2 linked regions of the Tribolium castaneum genome follow. The protein of the gene in region 1 interacts with the protein of each later gene in a pairwise test. Links are inferred from orthologs where the notes say so. Each region holds a gene or a part of one and is shown in the gene's direction. Other genes may lie near its edges. The genes, in order: Rgl and Ras85D.

The links.
Region 2: the proteins of Rgl (region 1) and Ras85D interact in a two-hybrid assay, tested with the Caenorhabditis elegans proteins (3 studies listed by BioGRID). The link is inferred for Tribolium castaneum from reciprocal best matches to the Caenorhabditis elegans genes rgl-1 and let-60.

The regions. Positions count from the first base shown.
Region 1 is NC_087398.1:14,557,137-14,560,430, reverse strand, and holds the end of Rgl (ral guanine nucleotide dissociation stimulator-like 1), read left to right. Parts: intron 1-1,865; coding exon 1,866-1,987; 3' UTR 1,988-2,491; downstream 2,492-3,294.
Region 2 is NC_087397.1:5,188,393-5,192,931, reverse strand, and holds Ras85D (ras-like protein 1), read left to right. Parts: upstream 1-1,668; 5' UTR 1,669-1,906; coding exon 1,907-2,302; intron 2,303-2,795; coding exon 2,796-2,981; 3' UTR 2,982-4,025; downstream 4,026-4,539. Other genes in the region: uncharacterized protein LOC663430, read right to left, coding at 1-95, 141-1,121; DENN domain-containing protein Crag, read right to left, coding at 4,141-4,456, 4,506-4,539. UniProt on the Caenorhabditis elegans protein: GTP-binding protein with GTPase activity. The level of let-60 controls the switch between vulval and hypodermal cell fates during C.elegans vulval induction. May stimulate the guanine nucleotide exchange factor (GEF) activity of rap-1.

The DNA.
Region 1 (3,294 bases):
AACAGAAAGACAAAAAAGTGGGAGAACAGGTGCTATAAAAGAACTTAAATGTTAAAAACTCCCTTACCTCTCAATTAAAATTGTTAAAATTTTTATCATTTATTACCTGCTGATATGTGCTGTTAGATGTTTTTTATGTCTGTACGGTCTATCTCTAAAAAAATTTGAATTGTTTTTTGAAAAAATAATAATAGGGGTCGAACCGCATCCTGCTGTTCTAATTCTATTTTTAATTTTTAATTTTAAACAAATGTTGGCATTTTCAATTAAAAGAAATCAGATACTTTGGAGCATTCCAAAGCGATTTAGCTCGTTTATAAGCTAGGAATTATGAATAGAATCAAGATATGTTAACAACTAATAATAAAAACATCGTTTTCAACCAAAATAAAGCGATTAACGATTTTCAGTTCTGTCTATAGACGAGAAATCAACGAAACTCAATTTATTTTAACAAAAGTAATTAGAAATTCTTTATTTTTGGCCAAAATAAGACGTTTTGAGTCGCTCCAAAGCATTGGAAATCTGCATATTTCGACAAATACTACTCGTAAGTCCAAAAATCGTTCTTCTTGGAAAAAGTTATAATATGTATTATAATTTAAAAGGCATTTTGAAGCTAACTAAAAAACTCACGTATCTTATCAAAACCAACTCAAAAAAAACTTTATTTTAAGCCAAAATAAAGTGCTTTGGGCCTATTTAGCCCATTTATAAGAGAGGTAACATGAAAAAAACTATATATTTTGCCAAAACTAGTACTTAGCTCATAGTTTTCACCCATAATAAGGCGACTTGGCGATTTCCAATTATTTAGCTTACTCGTATAATAAACGAGGGATCATCGAATATCAACTTATTTCATCAAAACTACTAAGCAAATATTTTTTTCTGGACAAAATAAAGCTATTTAAGCAGTTCCGAATCGATTTTTTTCCTTCGAAAGCAAGGAGCTTTCTCTAAATGAAATGCAAAAGCATTATTATAGATATTGGCGAAAATAATGAATTTTGAGTCATTTACATGAGCAAGGACTCATTGAATATCTTTTCCAAAAATTACCATTTTAAACAAGGCAAACAAAGTTGTGCAACCCGAAAGACATTTTACAAGGAACGTTTTACGTTGAATGATAGAAGTACTACTAAAATTTTACCTAACTGAACCAAAGGAATGATGTAAATTTAATTAGAATAAAGATATAAAAATTAAAAGCTTAGTAACAAAAAAATTTTTATTTTTTGATAACTAATTGATATAACAATTATAATAGTAATTAATAGTACTATTTACTAGTTGTTAAAGAAACCGTTTTGTTAAAATTTTCAACTCACAAAAACGTCATTTAATTTTCCAGCAACTTTTTGTCTTAATCCAATATTAAACTTATAGAGCTTACGTATCAAGTTTACAAATTTTAAAATCACTGCTAATTATGCAAACACTGCTAAAATATTGTTAAATTGAACCAAAAATTGAAAATTACCAATTAACAAAAATAGAATTTGTTTTTAAGAAAATCTTAGGTAACTATTTGCTGCAAAGGTGGGCACAAATAGGTTTGGCTGATCATTGATTTCTGTTACATTACTTAAAAACTTTCGAGTACCAAAAATACAGAGGAAGGTGCTTTTTTGATGTATTTACAATGAGAATCTCTGAAATTTGGGCGCTTCTCGTTATTGTTTTTTATTGTCATCTTATGAACACAAGGGGCCCTTTTAGCGAAATATTTGAAAAATCTTATGTTTTCTACGTCGAACGTTTGTTCAATTATTATTTGTTGAGTTAGACATTTTATTGGACTTAATAAAAATTGTGGCATTATTTAAAAAAAATTGTTAAGATGAAATATTTTTTTGCAGAGATGGTCCTTCCATCAAATGCTAATGTCTACTACGCCGTGAATCCCGCCTACAACTTGAATTTTATTCTGCGTCCGAAGAAATCCGAAGAGTCTGACACTAGTATGAAGAAAGGGAAGTGAAGCCGCTACATAATAGGTGCAATTTAATTTAATTAAATGGTAAATGAAATGAGCTGTTTTTGACAAATAACGGAACAAATAACAACTGTGATAAAAAGCACAAATACTCTCTTTTTACATCACATTTTACGTTTTTATTTTTATTTATTTATTGCGATGAGGATTTGAAATGTGCTGAAGTAACCATATGGCATGGATTGTTTTATTTATTTCACTTTTTTAAATTAATTTAAAGCTTTACTTTTTGTGTAATTAATGTAAATTAATAATGGGCTAAGTATTGTAAATGTGAACAAATGTAATTTATTGTACTTATTAATGTAGAGTGTGTTAAGTAGGACCAACTTTTTCACCTTTAGCCTGACTAATTAACAAGCATTACTAGTGACGTGGCAAATTTGTTAATTACTCTAATGGTACTTAATTTAGACAATATCAATTTCAATATTTTCTGTAGCATCTTTCTAATGTACCTATTTTTGTAATAAAGGAAATTATACAGAACTCGTGTTTCTTCTTAACCCACAATCTAAAAATCCCTAATTAATTACTCTTTCATCACTTTGTGAAATGGTCCAAAATAAATTTTTCTATAACTTGGAAAAGCTGCCAGTGGCGGTTAGAGGGCGCCACGTCCTCAAGTTCGAAGTGTTTGAAGCAAAATAATATTCCATAGTTAATTAAACATTTAATAAAAGATTAATTAAAATATACATTTTCTTTCTCTAATTAGTGAAAAAAATATGAACGCACTTTTAGCTAAATAAGCTAAATTTTTAAGTATTTTTATTAAATTAAACGTTTTGTAGAAAGAAGTTTGTATTAGGTGCCGAAAAAAATGGTTTATGTCAAGAAAAAAGACATTCGTTGTCATTGATAAACATTTTGCTTCCTGTAAGTTACAGAAATTGTGTTGCCTTAAAGATGATGAAGTAATAGATTTCTAAACATAAGGCTGGCTTACAAACCCACATAATTGCAATTAGTTGAAACAAGGTGCACATGATATTTAAATATTTGAAAACACGATAGAAATTAAAAATTAAATACTCGAATGCCGCAGTAGTGAGTAGCGCAAATCAATATAAGATTTCCTATGTTCCTAAAAATGTTGTTTATAACAACAAAACGATTTATAAAGTTTATGAACATAAATAATATTTTTTAAAGCTATTTTTACACACAAGATTTTTTGTCCCGTCTGTCATATGTAAACAAAAGATAAATTAATTAGAAGTCGTTGCGCATTACCTTATTCTTCGATTTTGTGGTTTCAAAATTTTCAACAGGTTCCACCTTTTAATTTA
Region 2 (4,539 bases), on another chromosome or scaffold:
CTGTCGTTATCGCATTCAAGGAGGGCTTTCGATACTCTACTTTCGGGGAATCCTAAGTCTAGCAACTCGGACATTGCCAGTAAATGCTCCACCACCTGAAACAGCCCTTGTAGTGCCTTAAAATTTGAAAAAATCAGTACCTTTTTTTGGTCGTTGCCCAGCATTTTGCAAACGCGGGCGACCCTGGACAGGGGGAATCCCATCGAGCTGATCGATTTGGACAAATCTTGCATATTCTTTGGTAGAGAAGTAAATTCGTCGGTTAAGTCGTCGCTCCGTTTAGGAAAAACGTCAGTACTTTTGCTCCGTGTATTGTCTATATGCGTATTATCGAGTTCGTTTTGCAACGTCTTCATAATATCGGGTATGCTTTTGTAGTCTTGGGGCGAACAACTGTACTTATTTTCGCCTTGGTTTGTGTAACTATAAGGGTAGGTTTGTATCGTTTCGGGGGCGTAGTAGTAGCCGTTGTGGTTCGAATAATGCGACGTGGGGACGTAACTGGTGGAGCTGGGAATGTTGTAGGTGTAGTTGCTGGGGCCCACCATGGGATAAGCGGGCGTTGAGTAGTTGGGTTTAGATTCTTCTCCTTTTAAAACTTGCGCTAGCTCTTCCAAATCATTGATTGACTTTAGCTCCATGTTGTCGAAGGGGCTCGAAGTGTCCGCCTCGAAGTCGGAGATATTGAACGGACTTTTGTCCGTCTGGCTCCCGGACGAGACGGGGGTCAGGACAGTGGAGTAGGTTTTGACAGGCATTAACATTGATTGGTTTTGTTGGTAACATTGACTAGGGCTTGAAACTTCGATCTCTTCTTCTAGCTGATAATCGGTCTGCTCGTCTTGCCGCTTTTTCTCCTCTCTCGCTTTCTCTAGTCTCTCGTTTAACTGCTGGAACATCACAGATCGCGCGGTCCTCCACTCCTTCATTTTCTCTATTACAGTCTTTTCTAAAACAAACTCGTAATGCGGGATCGTATCTTGGATTTGCTTGTTTAAAGTGAGTCTTTGTGCGTAGGACATTGCCAGGCCTATCCGTGGAGGGGGCTTGTACTTTTCGGATATCTTCACTCGGACGTTGTCCATGGAACCGCCGGGGGTTTCTTGCTGTTTGTTCGACATTGTCACAACTGTCGGGGGATCGCCTTACATGACAATTTTTTCAAGGAGATTACTCACCTTAACCTTACACAACTGGGACACTTTTCCGAATTTCAGGAGCTAACAACACAGAAGTTACATCGTTAAGTAAAGGAAAGGCGCGGTTTTGATTCGTCCTGCTTGCAGAAAATCAACTTCGAGTAATTAATAACATTAAAATTAATTCTTTACGAATATTTTTTATCTTTGTCATCTGATGACATATTGGCTTTAGGGGATTTGGGCCGTTGGCCACACTACACAATGCTCACAGAGGTGGGCAAAATAGAGAGACCCTTCTCGACTTTGACAACGAATAAAAATTCGAACCTATCGTATAACTCACGTTTTTGTGGATTCTATGCAATAAAATTTGTTCGTGAGGGGTTTAGACCATGTTATGGTGCGTCGTTTCTAGGCGTTTGGGGTACAAAAGAGTGGTTGACGTTGTTTACGTCTGTGGTGATGCTATGATGGGTGGGTTGTGAAGCTGAAGGTGTGTTGGCAGCATTGTTTAGTAGTGCATTTGACGGTCTTGATAACTTTTGTTACTCTTTCGTTCTTGATTACAATTAATTAGAGTAATTTACTGGGCATACGAGTGTTCTTAATTGCTTCAGTTTAAATGTGTGCTGTGTTGATTTTATTATGCTGGGATAACGAATAAGAAGACCTGCATAGCCTGCAAAAATTAATAAAAAAAATTAAAAACCGTGTGCTTCTTGGTATTTTCGTTTGCTTAGCCGTTTTGGTATTTTCTACATAAAATGACTGAATACAAACTAGTAGTAGTTGGAGCAGGTGGTGTCGGCAAATCAGCTTTGACCATACAATTAATCCAAAATCACTTCGTCGACGAATACGACCCTACCATTGAAGACTCCTATCGAAAACAAGTAGTCATCGATGGGGAAACGTGTTTACTGGATATTTTGGATACGGCAGGACAGGAAGAATACAGTGCCATGCGAGACCAGTACATGAGGACAGGGGAAGGTTTCCTTTTGGTTTTCGCCGTTAATTCAGCTAAAAGTTTCGAAGACATTGGAACATACAGGGAACAAATTAAAAGGGTTAAAGATGCCGAAGTCGTACCAATGGTACTCGTAGGAAACAAATGCGACCTCACTTCGTGGGCTGTAGACATGAACCAAGCCAGAGAGGTAAAATTCTCACTAAACCAGACACCTGGCGCCTAAACAAACCAATTGTTCTAACGTGTTTTTAAGACAACAAAAATCACACATTTATAGCAATTGAGTAGGTTTCCTCATTCAAAATACGTCAATAGGTGTTGGTGAAAGAGGAATGCAAAAACAAATGATTGATGCTGATGACTCACTAATATGTTTATATCACAGGAAAGAAATTAAGTAAATATTTCTACCAAATCTTATTATTATCTGAGCCGAGTGGTTTATTTAAGAACATTCCACTTGTTTTTCCCATTTATCCACCTTCCTGGATAGTAGGTTCCTGTAATTTGACTCTCGCTGTTGCTTAGCAACTGATACAGGGTGACTCATGGTTGGGCGAGTGTATCTTGATTTTTTCTTTCTAGCAGGAGTTAAAGTAATCTTCGATCTACTCAAAATATCACATAAAATAGCTTTTTTCTCGATATTTCTTCATTATAAAAATGCGAATTTTGTTTAGGTGGCGCGGCAGTACGGGATCCCGTTCGTGGAGACGTCGGCGAAGACCAGGATGGGTGTGGACGAGGCATTTTACACGTTAGTTAGAGAAATACGTAAGGACAAAACGAGAAGCGGTAAACGCCAGCACAGGTACATCGGCGGCCACGGTCGTGTTCCTTTTAAGTTGCGATGCACCATCCTTTAAGACAGACTCATCGTTTCGATGACCAGCAAAAAAATTTAAAAAAATGGGATCGTGTTTTGCTTCGCATTTTTCTCCTCTGTGAAAGTGTGATAGTGTAAAAAGTAATAGGGGGGAGCGACGCTTCACTCTTCTCCCCCGATTGTTATATCATTTGACAATTCGTGTGCGTGTTTCCATAATTCCAGTGTGCGAAAATGTGTAAGAGGAAGCTTATGAAAGAAGTTTTTTTATGTACCACGTTTTGCTTTTAGTTCAAGTGTGTCTTTTCTGCTCAGTATATTCTTACTTGTCGATTCTTAAATTTGCTGTAAATACTTTTTAGATATTATATTGAAAAAGCTTCGGAAACATTTTTCGTCTCTTTGCACAAATTTTTGTTTTAAAGAGGATAAATACACGGTTTTATATATGTCAGATATTAAAATTTTATATGTATATTCTGAATGTGATGTATATTTTATTGATAGTTTTATTTAGTTCTGACGAGAAATTTGTACAGTTGCGCAACATTTTTGGCGAGAAAAGTTGATATTAAGATTATTGTTTCTAACGGATTTCCTTTTAATTATGTAATATCTCAGGAATAGCATATCATGTATAGTTTGCGCACAAATTTGTATGTGCCTCAAAGAGAACTCGTTCTCTTCGTTTTTTGTTGATATTAATGTAGTTATCCTCTTTAATGAGAATTTTTTGTCATGTTTCTGGATACGATGAATAAACTAATCGCTCATCTGCCTCCCAATTGAACCAGTTCGTTTTGTTTTCGTTTTATTCCTCGTATTCTGGCATAAAGTATAGTTAACTTCAAGCAATGATCAATCGTTAAAGAAATATAACCAAGTTTAAGCTTAATCTTGGTCTTGACATGTTATTCCCCGTTTTTTCATATGAGATTTTTCTTAATGTTCTACTAATCTAGTTTTAATTTTGCCTTCATATATTATACAAAAAGAAGAAAAAACAAAATAAAAATATATGTAGCAATTTAGTTTATAGATATGTCTACTAAAATTCTCTTATTAATAAAATGTTAAATATTTACACACCTCGTTTTATTCAACAACTTTATTGAAAACTATAGACCCAAGAAAAAACCTACAGTTAAAATATAGCAGTGCACCTTATTAATTAAACAAAAAGAACACAAACAAACTGATCAAGGCAAAGATAGTGGGCGGAAGTATTGACGGCAATACAACGCGATCGTACTCAGAGGTTTATCTTGGGGCTCAAACTGTCTATTATTCCTTTCAGTCGCACGATAATAAGCCGCACTGTATTGTTTATCAAACGCATTCAAGTCGATATGACTCCTCCCCAGCGCTTTACACGCCAGAAACAAGATGTCGCGATAAATCGAAATCCGGTTTTTCCCCTGATGCGGACCGTGTGACTCACGCTCCGACGCCAAGTTCTTCAAAGGCTCCGCCAGGTCGTTGAGCCGAATACTGACGATCACTTTCTGCATAAACCTGCAACAACCCAGCCACTAAACCAATCCACCCCAACCAAATGACTCACGATTTCGTTACGATGTTTTTATTGATTTGAGACG